Tribolium castaneum: one gene and its partner. The protein of the gene in region 2 interacts with the protein of the main gene of each other region in a pairwise test. Links are inferred from orthologs where the notes say so. Each region holds a gene or a part of one and is shown on either strand. Other genes may lie near its edges. The genes, in order: eIF3k and G1/S-specific cyclin-D2.

The links.
Region 1: the proteins of G1/S-specific cyclin-D2 (region 2) and eIF3k interact in a two-hybrid assay, tested with the Homo sapiens proteins (2 studies listed by BioGRID and IntAct). The link is inferred for Tribolium castaneum from reciprocal best matches to the Homo sapiens genes CCND3 and EIF3K.

The regions. Positions count from the first base shown.
Region 1 is NC_087402.1:8,159,956-8,168,362, forward strand, and holds eIF3k (eukaryotic translation initiation factor 3 subunit K), read right to left. Parts: upstream 3,328-8,407; 5' UTR 3,221-3,327; coding exon 3,168-3,220; intron 3,108-3,167; coding exon 2,888-3,107; intron 2,836-2,887; coding exon 2,461-2,835; 3' UTR 2,416-2,460; downstream 1-2,415. Other genes in the region: gem-associated protein 8, read right to left, coding at 1,281-1,690, 1,863-1,872; Syx13 (syntaxin-12), read right to left, coding at 3,615-3,793, 3,847-4,253, 4,300-4,499. UniProt on the Homo sapiens protein: Component of the eukaryotic translation initiation factor 3 (eIF-3) complex, which is required for several steps in the initiation of protein synthesis.
Region 2 is NC_087402.1:8,520,319-8,530,274, forward strand, and holds the start of G1/S-specific cyclin-D2, read right to left. Parts: upstream 6,359-9,956; 5' UTR 6,227-6,358; coding exon 6,029-6,226; intron 5,970-6,028; coding exon 5,754-5,969; intron 1,864-5,753; coding exon 1,707-1,863; intron 1-1,706. Other genes in the region: uncharacterized protein ocm, read right to left, coding at 9,080-9,415, 9,459-9,665, 9,713-9,839, 9,886-9,956. UniProt on the Homo sapiens protein: Regulatory component of the cyclin D3-CDK4 (DC) complex that phosphorylates and inhibits members of the retinoblastoma (RB) protein family including RB1 and regulates the cell-cycle during G(1)/S transition.

The DNA of each region.
Region 1 (8,407 bases), about 360 kb from region 2:
TTTCCTTTAAGCTTCTTATAGAAAATACCAACCTATCATTTGGTGGTACGAGTACATTATTAAATTACTTCCACAAATTCTTAATTCTACGCTGCATGTCTTCAATCAGGTGTTAGATGCCCCCTTGAGGAATGTTATGACACTCATCCTGTAAGGCATTTCTAAGTTGCCTGCTTGTAATGCATAAAAATGTTGTGGCTACGTGTATCTGAAGCAATTTATAAAAGATAAAAGAAAAAACTGTAGATACGTACGATCTCTGCTTTTTAAACATAAGTTGTAACAAGTTGCACGTGTTTACAATTATTTTTAGAAACAATAAAGCGATAATCAATTCGTAGTATTCAAGTCATTGTCCTGGTGGAAACAAAATATGGGTGAATAAGTTACAGTTAAATATTGAAATAAATTCATAATTATGTAAATCTGAAATCAAATATAAAATATTGTTTATATATAAACTATTTTTCCAAGGTAGTTAACTGTACACTGGAAGAAAGTGCCTCGGTATAAATAAATTGTTATAAATTTAGAAGTATCCAATAAATAAGCTCGCTTTGAAATTAAAATGAGGATTCAAATTCATAAATAGCACTTTGAATATTTTAGTAATTTGTTATTTTTGGTTGAAAACAAAACGGTTTGCGAAATAAAATTGATGATTAATTTAGTGTGTTGGAAAAAATGTACGTATTCGAATCTAATTATGATCACAAGAACAACACGGATGGGGCAGCTTCATATATGGAGGCACGCATCATAAGCTGTTCTAACGGCCGAGATGGCATTGGGATTAATTAGATTCTATCGGTTCGATTAATTTAAGAGTCTCGTATCACGTCCTTATCTTATTTCTTCACATTTCGAAACGTTCACACGTCGAGTGAATCTCCAAACTACATCTTTTTTAAGCTGAAAAAAGTCGTCCGTGCGTGGTAAAAACCGGAAATACCTCCTATAATTTGACCACAATTGTCTATTTATGTAACAATGCAAAATCTAAATACGCTCAATTATGCACAGGGAATGTAAAAAGTTTTATTTCTTTTTAATTACCGACGTCTGAAGTCAGTCTGAGAAAAAGCGTGTAATCTAAAATACTCGTCTCTAATGTAAAATAAATTATAATAAAAATGCACACGAATGTGTCATTATCTTCATAATTACACGGCCAATCACATCATCACCGAAGGGATTAAATTCAGGATGATCCGTAATTACGCTCTCTCCTTCAATAAAACCAACAAATGCAAAATTAATACCAAACTTTATTAACATAATCAAGCATCAAATCTCAAATTTAAAGGGGTGTGGGGCCAATGCGCCAGCTTCCCAGCGTCCTCCAAATGCAGGTCGTAATTCAACTGAACAGCCGTCTCCATTCCCATTATCTTCGAGGCCTTTTTTCCATACAACTTGTCCATCTCTTCCCGCCTTTTTCGCCCAACGGGCCCCGTTTCGGCTTCCACGGGAGCATCTTCAATCTGCCCTTGCTCCTTCACGTAATTCGCATAATCCTCCGTTTGTTTCGCATAAACATTACGAAGGTGTCTAATTAACATTTGATTTTCATATTCGAGGCTCAAAGCCCGTGATTTCCAGTAAGCAACTTGCTCCTGTTTGTGCCACTCAGCGACCTCTGTCGCCGGAGACGAAACAGGCGTCCACTCCATGCCAATAATATCAACCACTGTAATACCCGCACACAAAGCGTCCGCCTTAGGTTTAAATCGTATCGTACTGTAGTACCTCAATAAACTACTTTTTCTGCGAGAGCGCCGGTTTAAATTACTTTTAAAGGACCTGCGGTGTTTTTTTCGAACTCTGGTCTTGAGAGTTTGGCATGAAACACTAGAACTAACCATCTTCCATATTGTATAACTTCATTCGCAGGACTGTACATAGAGGGGGTTCCCATCCGAAACAATCACACGAATACAGATTATTACTTCTGTAGGAGACGAAACAAGATATAAAATAAAAGGAAGAAATTTATATTTTCCTTTAAAAAGTCTGGGAGACCATCAACGGTTTGAGTGCCAAAGATATGGTGTCGCGAATTTTTTGATAGGAAATTTAATTCTTTACAACGTTGTTCCTTACACTTTTTTGTATCTGTAAGCGTATTCGCAGCCTTTTGAAAAATATGGGACACAGTGCCAAAAGTTTTAATTTATTTAAAATATAATTTACGATAAAATTTTTGCATTGTTTGTCTTACTATTGAAATTTAATCCCCAATTTGCTTGTATTTTTTTATTGCTGTGTGTTAACTATTACACAAATGCAACCATTTTTTCAAGTTCATTGCTCTGAAAACTCAAGTAACTGCGCTCTCTGGTGATATTAACGGAACTATCAAGGACGGGGACGATTTATTTGGTCGTTTCGTATCCTAGCATTTAGAGGTCCGTAGACACGAAGTAGTTTTATTTTATTATTGAAAAATTAAAATACAAATCAGCGACATGAAGCCATAATGGCTCCGACATTTTCGAAATCGATTTTCTCGTTAATATTTTTAGTTTTGATGTTTTCGTCTTGATTGGCAATGAAAATCAACTGGCCCTGTTCCTTCCATCCATACTTATTGACCCAGACTTTCAACGTAAGGTCATCAACGTCTCCCAATAATTCGGCCAAATGGGACCTTTCAATGGTCTGATACGTGATTCCAACTACGTGACACACAAATTTCCGGATTGAGTCTAAAAATCCGGTAATTCGTTGGGTCAACTCTGGCATTGAGTGGATTCTGGTCCAGAACAATTGAAAATCGCACTGTTCCAAAATGTCGGCCAAGTAGATAATTTGGTTGATGGGTTCTTCCGCCAGCTAAAAAATGTTTTTTTTTTGCAAAACAAATATATTGACTGAATTTATTAACCTGTCGTTCGTTCAAAAGACATTTGCACAAAATAAAATTCGTGTTTGGAAGGTTTGTCAAAGCCTTGAGCAGGATTTGACTTGTGATGTCGATATTGAAGCTACTAGGGTTAAATTGGTACAATTTAAGGACGGCCAAGTTAGCCTCTAAATCGTAGGCATTTTCGCGCGATTGTATCTCCACGTAGTGCTCCAAAGTCGGTAAATTATCAGGGTTGTACCTGAAAATAGAGGTTAAGTCCAATGCATGGTAAAAAAACGTAATAAAAGAATAACAATACCGTTCAATGCCTTTAAGCATTGCTGCCACAGTTTGTTTCATTGCTTCGGCCATGGTTTTCAATTTGTTTTTCACTAAAAAATGAGAAAAAAGCACAACTTTCTCAAAAAACACGTCTTAATGACGTTTAAAATTCAAAGTTTTTGGAACAGAGGCCGCTGTAAGCGATAGGGAACTGTTGTTTTATGTGTTGCCTACATTTTAACTACAGAGTGTTTCATGTCACTACTTATTTTTTGCGGTTCTCATAGAATTTTATGGATAATTATACAAAAAAACTAAATATCATTCATATTTTGTGATTAAGATAATTACATAAATAAATATAAATTCTATGATAAGATTAGTTGCTATAAAAAGTCTGTGTATACTGTATATAAATATATCAAGCAGTTATTCACCACAAAAACAGGTTTGAGTAATTATAAAGAAAAGTAATATTACGCAGCTACTTTTTAAACTGTACAACTAGTATTATAATAATTATTGCAACTATTGCAAGTCCTATCAGTACCATGAATAGCAACTTGCGCCTATACTTATTCTGATAACTCGCTGCTGTAATTAACTGTTCTGTCGCTTCTTCCACATTGCCAGTTGCATGGTCTATGCTATTTTCAATAGTATCTTAAAAAAAGAGTTGATTAATCTCCCGATTTTTTTAAAAGTTAGCTCAATACCGATTGTTTCCGCTTGGGCGTGCACTAAGGACCCCAATTCGCGCATGATTTCGTTAACATCAAGTACATCGGCTTCAATTTGTTTAATCCTAGCTTCTCTCTCCATGAGCATATCTTGCTCAAACGCCATTTCGCGTGCAAGCTGAGCTTGCCGTTGCTGTTCTGTGTCTTCTTCCGGCGTGTAGTCATTTTCTATGCTTACAGAAACCAATAAATGTGATTTCTGCTTGTTGGCCAAGTCCTTTTGTAAGGAATAGTAGCGCGTGATCGCTTCTTTAAAATTCTCTTCTAACTTTTCTACTTGCAACTGCTGCTGTTTCTCGCTTTTGGATACAAGTTGCTTGAGCTTGTGAATGTCTTTGCTTGTGACTGATGCGATCTGGTTTGTGCTCAATTGAGTGACGTGTCTAGAATTAGGGAAGTGATTGAAATTCCAGAAGGGAAAAGACTTACATTGAACTTCTTAATCCCTGATTGTCTTTTCTGGTTCCGATTGTTTTTAAAGCGTTGTCTAAGGTCTTGAGACTTGAGTTGATTGTGTAAATGTTTGTTACGACGCCATCGCATAAATTATTGAATTCGGGGGAGCGCTTACCGATGAAACCTACGTCAGTGGACGCAGTAGCACCGTAATTGTAGGGATGTTTACTCATTGTTGTCTTCGACGCCCCTTTTCGTTTGTGATTTGACGTTTCGTAAACTTAAAACTGAGGTTAGGAGTAGGAAAGATCAGGTGACTTATTGTTATAACAAGGGGGTGAGTTCAATTGTGGCCTCGGGGATGAAACAAAATTAGCTTATTGTTGAATAATTGAAATACCTCACATTTTAAAAATACATGTTAAAAAAATCACACCCTAAATTATTTTTGTAAATCTTGTTAGGTTGGTGCAACTTAAATTTAAAATTGAAAATTACCGAATACCTACCGATTCGATTTTTATTAAAAAATACTTCAAACTGTAATATAAAAAGATGATAACAAGACCCTACCACATAATCCTGCTATTTTGTAAAAAAAATCTTATTTGTGTTTTAAAAAACATTGCAACACTTGTGTATTGATGGTTGTATATACAGCTTGCTTTTGGATACATTTCCACTTACAAAAGAGTACAAAGCTGTTTGGACTTAATCTAAGAATATTTACCTACTTAAAGAACCTACGTCCTTATTATTATTATACAATTTTAGACCCATCCCACAAAAATCGGAAAAAATACAAAATAAAAGTACAAAAACTGTTTTTGAACAAACAAAGCTGGAAGTTTTAATTTTCTAATTTTGAATTTCTTTAGAACAAAAATAATTTCAATTTTCAAACGCTGTTTGTAGCGACACTAGAAAAACTACGATGAAATATGAGGCCTAATAATCTCTTTCAAACAAAATGCCCGATTTTGCAACATTTTCAAAATCTGGCTTTTGTATGTTTCGAAAAAAAAAAAAAATCGAAAAAATTAAACTACTTATTTCGATGTAAGGTTGTGTAAAATGACTTGGAAAATCGATAGACGTCAAGCAAATTGCAAAATTCTTTATGGTTTTCAAGTTTTTAGAAATCACCACATATAAATTTTACTTATTTTTGCTTTTATTGGCAATTTTCTCAAAAACTGTTAGTCGCAGGACAATGATCTTTTTTTAAAAGGTTATATAATTAAAAGAGCTTTTCTACAATAATAAATAATAGGACTACGTCAAATAATTCGTAAGTTATTCCCGAAAAACACTCTGGGTACCAAAATTTTGACTTTTGAAACCCGTAAAACCCGTATCTTCTGATGTAAAATAAGTTACACTGCTTTACAAAAAAACTAGGAGTAAGTTTTTCAACTTAAAAGATAAACTGAGGTGTGGTTAAATAGATACCAAAATGGCTATAAAAATCCAAAATGTCGTTAAAGCCCAACTTTTATTCTCATAGCTTAAGTACAAGCGAGCTCAAAATTAATAATATCGGATAACACTTTTTTATGTTTCAGTAACGTACCTAATCGTAATATGTAAACATTAATACATTAAAATAACAGACTTCACCATTTTTGATATTAGAAGCAACGAAAAATTAGAGTCAAAAAGTTAGACCCAAAATTTTGACTCATTTATATTCTAAAATAACTATTTTTGATTTTGAACAAAATAATTATCTAAATAGCAAAAAAGTACAAGTTTTTAAATTGTTATTAAATGGGCATTAAAGCTCCAACATTTTCTTAATCCAGTTATTGTGGAACTTATCAATAAACTTCTCATAAACGTTTAAAACATAATAAATAAACTATTTGTTGCTTCTAAAGCTTGGTTTGGGAGAGATGGAACATTTCATCGCTATTTTGCAAATTATTCCTTTTTCTGAAAATAGATGCTCCCTTATTTATCCTTCGTATTCATTTTTCAAATTTTCAAAAATGGTGTGGAAATTGTTAATGAATGATATTCATCGAGTTTATATAATAAGTTTGTTGGACCGGAGACAATGTCATTAACACGGAACCAGTTTTGAAGGAAGTATCTACCTAGTGGCTGCTGAAACTGAAATTTATGTTGCCTTTGCAGCGGCATCGAAAGTAACCACAGTGTTCCCATATTTTTTAAAAGACCTAAACATATTTACAATGTTGTAAATGCTTTTTACCAAGCGATAATATGCTTCCTTTCCGTTCAAACACTGAATTTGATCAAATTTCGCTTGGAAGACTTATAGTGCTTCCCTCGCATGCGGGTTTAAATCACAGGGAAACCACAGCTTCGGTGTAACAATACACTTTCTAAAGAAGTCATCTAAAACTCCAAAACTGCATTTCCACTTCCTATGCACCGGCAGTTGCCTTCTACTACGCAAGCGACTCCGGCTATAATATGGATTGAGTAGGGCGGTTGTTCAAACGCTACAACCTGGGATCATTTCGTGACGAAACGGTCGTTGTGTGACTGCTTTCTTTAACAAACGTGTATTGTACCCGAAATTCCTCCGTGTTCTTGCTTTTTTCGAGCAAAAGAGTGCAGAAAGTGAATCTAGTGAAAGTGGTATGTCGATTTTCGCTTAAAATTTGGCTTTACCGTTTTATTTTTCATTTGGGATTACAGCCCCTTTAACAACAGGTAAGTGTTTTCGGAAATCAGACTCAAAAATGCCATTGGTATGCCGTGGTACAAACCCAATGGGCAAACCCACACGCTTATTCTTTTCCATGCACAATGATTTTGCCAGTTAATAAATTTTACTTATTTGCGTGGGTGCTTATTGCTCACTACTTATCGGTGGTTTTACCAAATAAATATTTTGTGGTTCATCCAAGGAGAGGATTTCGTTCGCTTCAGATAAAATGGGACTAATTTTATTTAGAGTGTCCGATTATCGGTTTAAAATAAAACCACTCGAAAATGGGCTCGATATTTTTAGCGTAATAGAATTTTCATACTCGCAAGCTCAACGTCCGTTGGGCAATTAACCTGCAGAGTGTTGGTAGAGAAATTCCATGAAGACCGTTGAATCAGTCTTGTAGTACGTTAGCCGTGGTTGAAGGTCGCCTTCTTTAGCCTAATCGAAAATACAAAGAAGACGAAAAACGGTTAACAGACGCTGCAACATCAGGTTCCTTTTAAATCGATCTATTGACAAGGGTGACAAAAGAAAGCCTGAGGTTTGGCTCATAATGTTTTTCATATGGTAACAATGTACCATTTATAAGTGTCATTAAACTCAGTATATTGTATAGAACTGCAAGAGGAAAATATTTGCTACATTCATTCATTACCTGCTATTAGAGAAAAAAGCGCATGTATTTACGTTATGAAGGCATTTCATGGGAGAGCTTTTCAATTGTGCTCAGGTGAATATACTCGAATGCATCCGAGCAAAACGTCCTAAGAGAGCGTTCTAGTGGAACACAAGAATGCGCTCTTATGCAGCAACTCGGGAAAAAATCATTTTAATAACAATACACCTGTTTTATGAATTCTCAAATTAACTAAATACCTCTGCCGGCGTTCGCCTGCTTTTTCTGCAAACAAGGCAACAACTTACACAAATATCAACTAGCAATTTTAACGGTTCATTTAATTAGAGTATTTGTGTGGAAGTTATGTTTTACGTAAAGTACAGTTGGTTTATAGCAAGAGTAGTAATTTTTGGATGGAATGCTAGGATACTTAACAGAAATCATGTTTATTTAAGCAAAACGTATTTGTTTACTTATGTTTCATTAAAACTGACCGCATGAAAAAGTATATGCTCCTGTTTATTTTAAGAACATGTTTGTGCATATTCTGAATGTTATTCAAAAAATCATTTATTTTTAGAGTGTGGCAAATGGTTATTTTTAGATGCGGAAAATTACGATGCGATAGCCAGTAACAGTAATCATTTTTTCAGAAATTTTCCTTGGTTTTGCGGTTATTTGGGAAAGAAGTTAACTGTTAAAAAGTGTAAAACGTAAGTTTTATTATGAGAAACATTAGAACAGTTCTATTATATTGAGAAAAAACCGAATTTGTTAATGAAAAGTAAAGATGTGTGCCTAGACCACACATTCAATCAATTTGTAAAAGTGGACGT
Region 2 (9,956 bases):
TTAGTGATTAATAATAAAACTAATAATAGCAACACTAATTAAAAAATTATACAAAAAAATTGCTACAAAAAAATCTGACTTCATTTTTGTGCTGAACTGAAAGTATATATATATATATATATAGATATATAGATATAGATATATATATATATATATATGAGAGTTTGCCCGACACTTTTGAATCACCCTGTATAAAAATGTATACGCAATTACGCATTAAAACATTAGACTGATTTTGGAACTGATTGTCGTTGAAACAGTTGAAAGTGTTTTTTAGAATCAACATTACATGTTTTACATTTCTATTATTAATTACTATTATTTTTTTATCTTCAATTTTTCTTTTCTTTTTGAACATGGTTAAGGAGCCAAATTATCAAATCTACTTTGAATTCTCCTATTTGCAGGCAATTAACACCAATAATGACTTCGAATTTGTGATATTTGTTTTGGCACAAAAGGAAACTAAAAAAATAGTTTTAACCATCTCAAAAAAAAAAAACTAGAACTAACACCATTGCGAAGAAAATTAGTTACCAAATAAAGCAGTTACAAAACAAAAACAAAATAAAAATGAAATCTCAATTACTTAAGCATTTTTTTTTCAATAGATGCATAATATTAATAATCTAGTAATTACTACTAGTTATATCCTGAGTATATGCCAAATCTGAGAATATTTTAACAAAGACTACACGAAAGTATTCAATAAGGACATCAAGAGAAAAAAATATTTCAGGTAATTTTAATATGCACAGAATTTTTAGAAAAAAAAAATAAAATAAAAACATTCAAATGTAAACCATATTTTAGGATATTTTATAATATTATATTTTATTAGATTCTTTCGATTCTGGGTAATTGAAAATTATACCATGAGATCGAAAATGCCCTGAATTTAGAGCAAAACCTTAAAAGTAAAATGTAACCTTAGTCACATAAATTTTTCTTGAGTCCTTTTGGAAGAACGCCTACTTAATATCCTTTTTTTTTGTACCACAGTTTCTTTTTCTCTAACTGTTTTTATCATATTTTTAAAACACAAAAAACATGTGCTAATTAAACACTAAATTGGGATATTTCTCCCGAAATTCTGCTAACTAAGCATTCACTAATTGAATATTTCCCATTTATTTTTTCACCTGTTCGAAAACAGAATTTACAAAAAGGACATTTTGTTGGATGATTGTTTTTTGTTCGACATTTCGGAATGATTTTGTTCAATTTTTGAAAAATTATTTTTAAATTCTGATCTTTCAATTTTTGCCATGTGGCAAAATTGCCAGTTCATTTTCGATTACGTGTTATAAATGCATTAATATGGTTCATTGAAATTTTTTAAGGGTTATAGCCAGTATTCGATTCTTCAACATTGCCCAAGAAGAGACCGGATAACCGAAGTTCTACTGTTCTACACGAAAAGTTAAGGTTTAACGTTTACTAATTCCGAACGGTGTAAAAAAATTATGATTTCACACAACTTCTCCAATCGAATTTTTCATTGGATAAACGGAATCCTTTTAGGATCTTTTGGTTGTTATTGTTTGTATTATTGACGAAATAATTCGTGAAACAGTACGCCCGTTGTGTTCAGAAATTACGAACGCATTTGTTTTTTCCTCCACTTCCTAATGTACTTTGACGGAAGCGGCTCATTTGCTCGCTATCTCGTCGAAGTTAATTGCTGAATGTCAGGTGTTTCTTACCTGTGTAACAGATGGAGACGAGGGTGTGCGCGTGCCTCCTCAACAAACTGCTTTCGCCGCCCCACGAACACCTCTCGATGATTTGATCGATGAAATCGAAGCCAGTAATCGCGGCGATATTCCATTTGAGTTTGGACAACACCAGGAGTTCCCAACTCTGCAAAAATAAAAACCGAAACTTGTATCAAGACCCTCTTAATTAATTATCATTTCACTCCCCCTCCCCACATTCCCACAGACGGGGTATTGTCTCGACACCCTCCTTAACGGCACATCACCCCAAGATGCTACGATTTTGCTCCGCTTTGTTCTCACGGGGCCACCAGATGACCATTCAAATTTGTCACAACGATGCGGTCGCCCCAGCACAATTAATGCTAATTTGTGGTCGTTGGAAACGCGACATACGCGGAAAATGCGCGCTGATAAGCGCATGCTGCACGATTTTATCGGGTTTGGAACCCACGACCCAGTTGGGCCCAAAATTCCCACAGGCAAATAAAAAATAAAATAAAGTATTAAAAAATAATGTATTAAATTTAAAAAACGGGCAGTGTAATTCGCCAAGGTCGGGGCAAACTGCCGACGCAATAAATTTACATAATAGCTGTTTTGTGATTAATTAATGCGTGCAGATGTTGCGAAAAATTCGTCGACTTTTTGCTGGCACAAATTGTCATTTTGGTTCTTCCTTTATCTAAACGAGCAGATGACGATAAAATCAGTTTGAATTCTCGAGCAACGTCTGTCTCCCGTCTAGACTCTCTAGGTCAGTTGGCAGAAGTTGCAAATTTCGGAAAAAACTCGTGGGAAACGTCCGTTTCTCCCCTATTTCCTTCCCAAAATCCTGCCTCAAATAATGATACAGAAAAACCCCCGAGAAACACTAACGACACGTCTTGTTCATGCTTGACTACGCGCGATGAGCTAATAATTTTATTAACGGTCACAAAGGTCACTTGTTGTGCACCCCATGTTCCCGTGTGAGAAAGCACCACCTTTTGTGATATATTCCAATCCGGGCCGTTTTGGACAAGTTAATAATAACCAGTCAAAAGGGGACAGACAAGGGTCCCAGAAAGGACCGGAACTGTAAATAAAGCTTCGGGTTCTTCCCATCCAGCTTCCGATTAAAGCGAGTGTAAAAAAGGATTCGAGAGCGTGAAACTAGTCGAGGATATCATCTTAACCTACAGGATTCAGGGTGGTTGCGCACCCCAACTGATTGCTTGCACCTAGTCGACCAATTTGCGGTCGGAATTTCGTCGCAGTTTACGGAAGCAACAATCAAAGTAATAACCGGACAATGGAGCGCTCGAGGCAAGCCATGTCTTCGAGGAGAGATGAGTAGATAATGGGTCCGGATATATGCAGTATTGTCTTAGTACTATCAAGAAATTTCGTATATCCTTAGATGTATGGTGGTGATTTGGTGAAAAGGAAATGGGAAATGACGGATGTTTGGACGGCACGAAGCGGTAGCGCGACAAAAGTTATTTGGCAAGATAATGATCGAAATGGGTTGATGCTCTGCTTCTTCCCTTAAAAGGGCACTTATTTTGACCAGAAAGAAATTGTGATTAAAGAAACACTAATCAAGTATAGTGTATTTATCAAACTTCGAGAAAGTTAATTAGTTTTAAGTAAAAACTCTCAAAAACTGTTGAAAATAACAGGTCAAATGCGTGTTGGAAATACAAAATATTAGGTTTCTGGATGTGAGAAACCAAAGTCTTCTATGTTTTTCAAAAAGTTTAAAAATCATTTTCTAGAAAAAAAACTCGTACAAACGACCCATCAGTTAAGGATGTTTCGGTCAATATTTGAATCGATCTTTCTATTGATAAGTAAAATTAAAAATATTTTATACCAACCAGTAAAAAATATAAATTCAAAAAAAAACATTTTTGTTGTTTTGATGCACGCGAGTTTCTCAAAAACCGATATTTTTTTACTAAAGATAAAGAAACTTGAATTTCACAATCTTGGGGCTTACAGTTAAATCTTGGAGGTGAACAATCAAGATTTTTCCGAGCTGAATACAGTAAAACCTCCATCAACCGAACTAATTAGGTATGGCAGAGTCGTCCGGACTATCACTTATCGAATTAAAAAAAAGTTCTTAATTAAAATACATAAACTATAAAATATATACTATAATAAGGGTGTGTTACCGAACAAAATTTTTTTCTTAATTAAAATGAATGAACAATGAAATATACAAAGTTTAAAGTAACGCATAAAATTCGTAATTCTTTTTTTTAATAAAAAAAAATGTAAAACAGGTAATTTACCATTTTAATTAGGCTTAAATCTGACCTACCTGGATAAATTATGGCGGACAATATGGCAGCCCTAAGACGTCATCATAATTTTTTTAATGAAACGATACCTTTTTTGTATAATTAGAAGCTGTACTAATAGTTCTTTACAACTGTGCTACTTATTTTGCATGTGGGTGAACCAAACGCGGAAAAAATTGAAATTTTTATAATTTTATATATTATATTTTATAAATTATAATCATAAAATTCATGTTTTAGTTATTTTTCTAAAATAAAATAAAAATGCCCAAACACGTAACTTAGTATTTTAATGGAGCTCAATTCTGACCTAACTGGAACACAGCGGCCAATTCATATACATTTTTTACTTTACTAATAAAAATTTTTTCGTGTTTGCTTCATTCACATTAAAAATAAGTAGCACAATTGCAAAGACCTACTAGTAGAACTTCCAATTATAAAAGAAAAATCATATCGTTCCATTTAAAAATTCTGTGACATTATGGTGCCGCGCCGCCATATTGGCCGCCATGACTCAGTCACGTCAAATATGAGCTCAATTAAAATGCTAGGTTACCTGTTTATAATTTTTGTAATAAAAAAAATATGAATTGTATACGTCGTTTTGTGGCAATGATTTCAAAAAATATATATTAAGGTTTCTTCATTCATATTAAAAATAAGTACCACACTTGTAAAGACCTATCGGTAGTGCTTCTAATTAAAAAAAAATGGTATCGTTCCATTTAAAAAATGCTAAATTATCTGTTTTTCATTTTGTTTATTTTTGAAAAATAAAAGAATGTAATTCTTTTAACTCACTCTGTGTAATTGTAAAGGGTGAGTTCTCTAAAAATACTTTATTTTTTGCTACCATATGCCATTTTTTACGAATTTTCTACACACAACATTTAAGCATTGCTTGTGCTCAGATAACATAAGAAATCATTTTTCGCAGCTACTTAATGTTAGTTAATTAATTTTCTTTTTGAATAAGGCACAGTAAAAATATCGAATACCTAAATTGTGCATGTTCCGAAAGTGAGTCACTTGTTTTTTTTTCGGATAATAGAAGTTTTACTGTAGCATTTTAAAGCTTACCCTAGCATCAACTCGAAAATCTAGGTGATTTAAAAATTTGTTTTAATTGTAGCTTTTAATATAAAAAACTAAAAATGTTTCGTAAAAAGTAATTCTAGATAATCCGTTTGTCCGAGTTAGAAGACAATCAATCCAATCCAATCATTACACAGTGGGCAAAACAATCCGAATATCAGCTGATCTTTTCCGATTAGACTTAGTTTTAGTTTAACTGTAGAAAAAATATACCCAGACAAATGACCTAACAACATCCTGCCTGTACATTGAAATCGTTCATATTTCGACGAAGAGAAAAAAGGAAAATAGGTTTTTTAAAACATTTAATTGGGTTTTATGAGCTTGACGCGGCATTCCTTTGATCGATCGAATCTTTCCTGACACGAGGCAACCAAAAGAATTCCATGGAAAGTGAAATAATCCGTACTGCAATTTGAACTTATCTCAGAGTCAAAAGTTACAAATGTCAACTCTCATCAGTAATTTATAACACAGAGCCTATTTCCGGGTGAAAAAAATACGAATTTCGCTATTTTTATCAACAATTCGTTCATTGAATAATTGACTCGTGTCAACAAAGACACCTCTGTTGGATGGTGTCGAGAGGAAGAATATTTTAACACGATGATTTGGTAACACAAGAGTTAAACAAATTCTGACTTACCACCAACATTTCGCTAGTGACACTGTAGTCGGTGTAGGCACAGAGCAGGTCAATGGGCAAAATATTCGTACTCCTGACTTTGGAGGCGATGAGGAGGCAAGTGGCCCCCAGGAGTTGTAACTGCTGCCTTCTGATAGGGCACACACAGAGAAACCGATCCATTAGATTAACCGCCAATGGAAGAATCTGGTCTTCACACATTTGTTCTTCACAGACCTGAAACGACCAATTTGAAATAACCAACCCCTCGCCCAAATGTGCAACGTCTCAATTACCTCCAGCATCCAAGTCGCTACAACTTTTCGCATAAAGGGTTCGATGTCGGTTTGAACGTTTTGAAAATAGTTAGTGTGGGGTGTGTACAACACTTCGTCGCTCAGTAGGTGTTTCATGACGCGAAAGTCGTTGAAGATGTTGGGGTCTTTGGGGGCGTAGGTCGGAGCGGTGATTTTTTCCGTACAAGCGAGATCCATGACACTACACTTCACGTGGTTTGCGCGCGTTTGAACGATCGACTACTCCTCTGCCTCTTGTAGTTCTTTCGCAACTGGTGGCAGCGGTGGCGAAGGAAAATTAATTATTGTTGTGATGGTGCACGTGGGGGGAAGGCGCAAGCGCGCTCAGGGAGTGCGACACCTGGGCTGTGGACAGGAAAGGACCTGCACTTCCAGTTTCGAGGTCTACCTGTATATAATCAGAGGAACATCTGCTACAATTTTTAATAAGCGCTCCATCATCCGAATTCCGTTTTTGTATCGCCTTCATCTACATAAGGTGTCAAGGAAAATCAATATTGACACCAGGTGAGGAGGATCTTGCGTCTTCACAATGTCACCTCACTTATTCAAAAAAAAAACACGCAAATTCCAAAAATTCAGTTTACATTTTAAAAATGCAAAAAGAAAACCATAGCAAAAATAAACAAAAAATTATACATTTTTAAAGTAATATGAAAACAAAAAGTTGTATTCTCAGTAATATAAAAGCAAAGTAAAAAATAATAATACGAAAATAAAATAGCAAAAAAACAATTATTGCTAAAGTAATAAATGTTGTAATTTTCTCTGTTTTTTAACAAAATCACAGTCAAAATTGATGCATACAATAAAAAAAACAATCTCTTAAGTAATCAATGGGGAGGGGGCTCAAAATTCATAAAGAATAACAATTAATAATACAAACGTCTTTGTCCTTCTTCTAAAGTTTTATTTTTTAATTTGCTAGATGTTTCGACCATTTATTATGTGGCCTCTTCAGGCATCAATTTAGAGTTCATTTTTTATCTGCACAAAATTATTAATAATAAAGACATTTAATTTATTTGTTTTAATAACAATTCAACTATTTGTTTGGTATATTTTGAGTGCACTTCGTAAAAAAATGATATTTTCACTGGAAAAAAGCTTGTAAAAAGCAAAACTAGCAACATTTTCGACTTAATTTGGCAATTTTTTGGTTTATTTTTATCGAAATTTCGCAATAAACAATTGCACTGTTGGACGAAAAACAAGATATTGTCGAAATAATGGCCCACATGTATTCGATTCAGGTTTTGTGATTTTTCAAACTCAAAAATACGATAAAGCGGCCAAAAAAGACAAAAATAACACCATTTAGATCGAAACTTTGCTGAATAATTGCGTTTGTGTAAGAAAAACTTGTTAATATAACGCAAACATTGTAAAATAATATTATTTTCGATTCAATTTATTAATTTTTCAGCCCAGTTTAGCAAAGTTTCGCAAAAACTGCATTTTTATCTAATTAATATGCCTCGATGCTAGAAACTTGCTGCGCTTTTTGAACTAATGTTAAGGTTGTTCGATTAATTTTTGACATTTTAATAAACAACTGTGTTTCTGACTGGAAATGTGTTAAAACACACAAAACAAGTGACTTTTGAAAATAAATCCGTCTTCGAGAAACAAGATAAAACCAATGAAAAAGGAAAAAATAAATGTTATTTTAACTTTTCGTTTTTTTTTGAGACGAAACTCCTTAAAATAATAATCGCATATCTGAATTTAAAAAAATCATGAAATTTGCAAAACAATTACGTTTTTGGACGAAAAACTATCCAAATATGTCGTCAAAATAATGGCATATTCGTTCAGGTTTTGTGATTTTTTAGCTCAAAAGCGGCCAAAAAAAGGCAAAAATAACACCATTTACGACCGAAACTTTGGTGAATAATTGCGTTTGTGAATGACAATGAGTGTTAATATAACGCAAACATTGTAAAATCATTTTATTTTCAATCCAATTTAATGATTTTTCAGCTCAGTTTAGCAAAATTTCGCATAAACGGCGTTTTCAAATTGTGCCAAAGCAACCAGAGCAATTTTATCGTAACTTTTGGAAATAAATCGGTTTCCAAAAAACAAAGTAAAACCCCTGAAAAAGAGAAAAACAAATATCATTTTGAGTCTTCGGCTTATTTTAGACGAAACTCCTCAAAATAAACGCATATTTGAATTGAAAAAATCATGCTAAACAGCCCAAAAATAAAAAATTATTGAAATTTTTTACCTTAACGCCCCAAAAAAGTAAAAAGTACATCATTAGACATATCTACTTCTAAAATTTTTCTGCGTATTTTTGATTAAAGTTACGAAATATAACAGCGTTTCGAAAAAAAGGATAAACAATAATTTTACCTAATTTAGTCAAAAAAACTGAGTTTTAACGTGATTAAGTGCTCGAAAAATACAAAAATAACACCACTTTCGACACAATTTCCCGAATTTTGAGCAATCTTGACGGAAAAAACCCTAGTTAAGTTATTGTAAATTATACCCACGTTTCAAAAGTAAGACTAAGGAGGCGGCAAAATGTAAATTGTTCCCAGACTTCGTAAAAACCTAGCGCGGCCCTCATACGTATTATCCTTTTGGTTGTAGAAAAAATATTTGTATGCACTGTTTGTTTTAAATTCTTGCACCCGCCTTCTGAAGCATCTAATGGACTGAATCACACACATGACCACTTTACCTCAGCAACCCCAACACGTCACCCCTTTAGTCATACATGAATTCCTCCACATGCTTTATCATCTCGCTTAATTCACTTTTAATTATCAGTCAATTTTGTGTAAGGGTTAGTAAAACTACAATTTGCTCGTAAACAAATTTATTCAATGAAACTAAACACTAATAATCACATTATTGCAGGGTCTTCCCACGTTACAAATACAAGAAAACTAATATATAAAAATTAATAACACAAACATCCAGTTCCAGTCTTCGATCACTTAAATCATTGTCAATGTGGGTGTGGATAATTAATTAGGTAGCTTCTTTACAACAATAAGTAACAATATTGGATTATCAAATAACTTTCTTTACAACTGGCATTCCGAGGTTTTTCACTGGCGATTGTTTGGCGTCTTTCTCTTTGAGTACTGATATATTCTGTTTCAGCACAAAACTTTTTCCTTTTTGTGCCGATTGCATTACGAATACTTTAGACACGTGGCGATCTTCATCATCGGAATCCGGAATCTCGATAGTTTCCGACACTTTACTGCTCATTTGATCGTCTCTTATTCCTCTCCGCAACAGTTTTATTCGTTGCATTTTGCTGCTAATCATCGATTTTAAATCGCTTTTTTCCGATTCGTAATTATCGGAGAGTTTCTCCTGGATGTAAATCTCGGTCCGCGCCTATCAAAAATCATTACGAAAGCTAAAGCAACGAAATACGTACCCATTGTATGATTTGTTGGGGCTCAGGGAACTTCCGCAACTCCTCGTTCGACATTAGGAACAAACCGAACAACTTGACAATTGATTCGTCATTTTCTAGAGATTCTTTATACGTTTGTAAAAGTGAGTCGAGCGACGGCACGTTACACTCTTGGAGCAGGTCTTCGGGAACACTCTCCTTCTCGTAGATACCAAACTCGCCGCAGAACTATTTTAAAGTTAAAAGATAGTTTCCTAAAATTTGCGCTAACTTACAAAGGGTCCAGGTTCGGTCAAATATCTGGCTTTGACCGGCGTGTTTGTCTTTAGGTCTAGCTGCGTCATTATTATAACATTGATTTTAAACGTTTGGGGGATGGGGCAGAAAATTTGGGACAAGTAGCTACAACCAAACGTTGGAAAATTGCAAATCTTCGTGAATTACTTACTGTATTAACAAATTTTTGGCAAGAGTCACGTTTGGAAACCGGTAACCTCTTGTATTGTTGGGCCAAAAGAC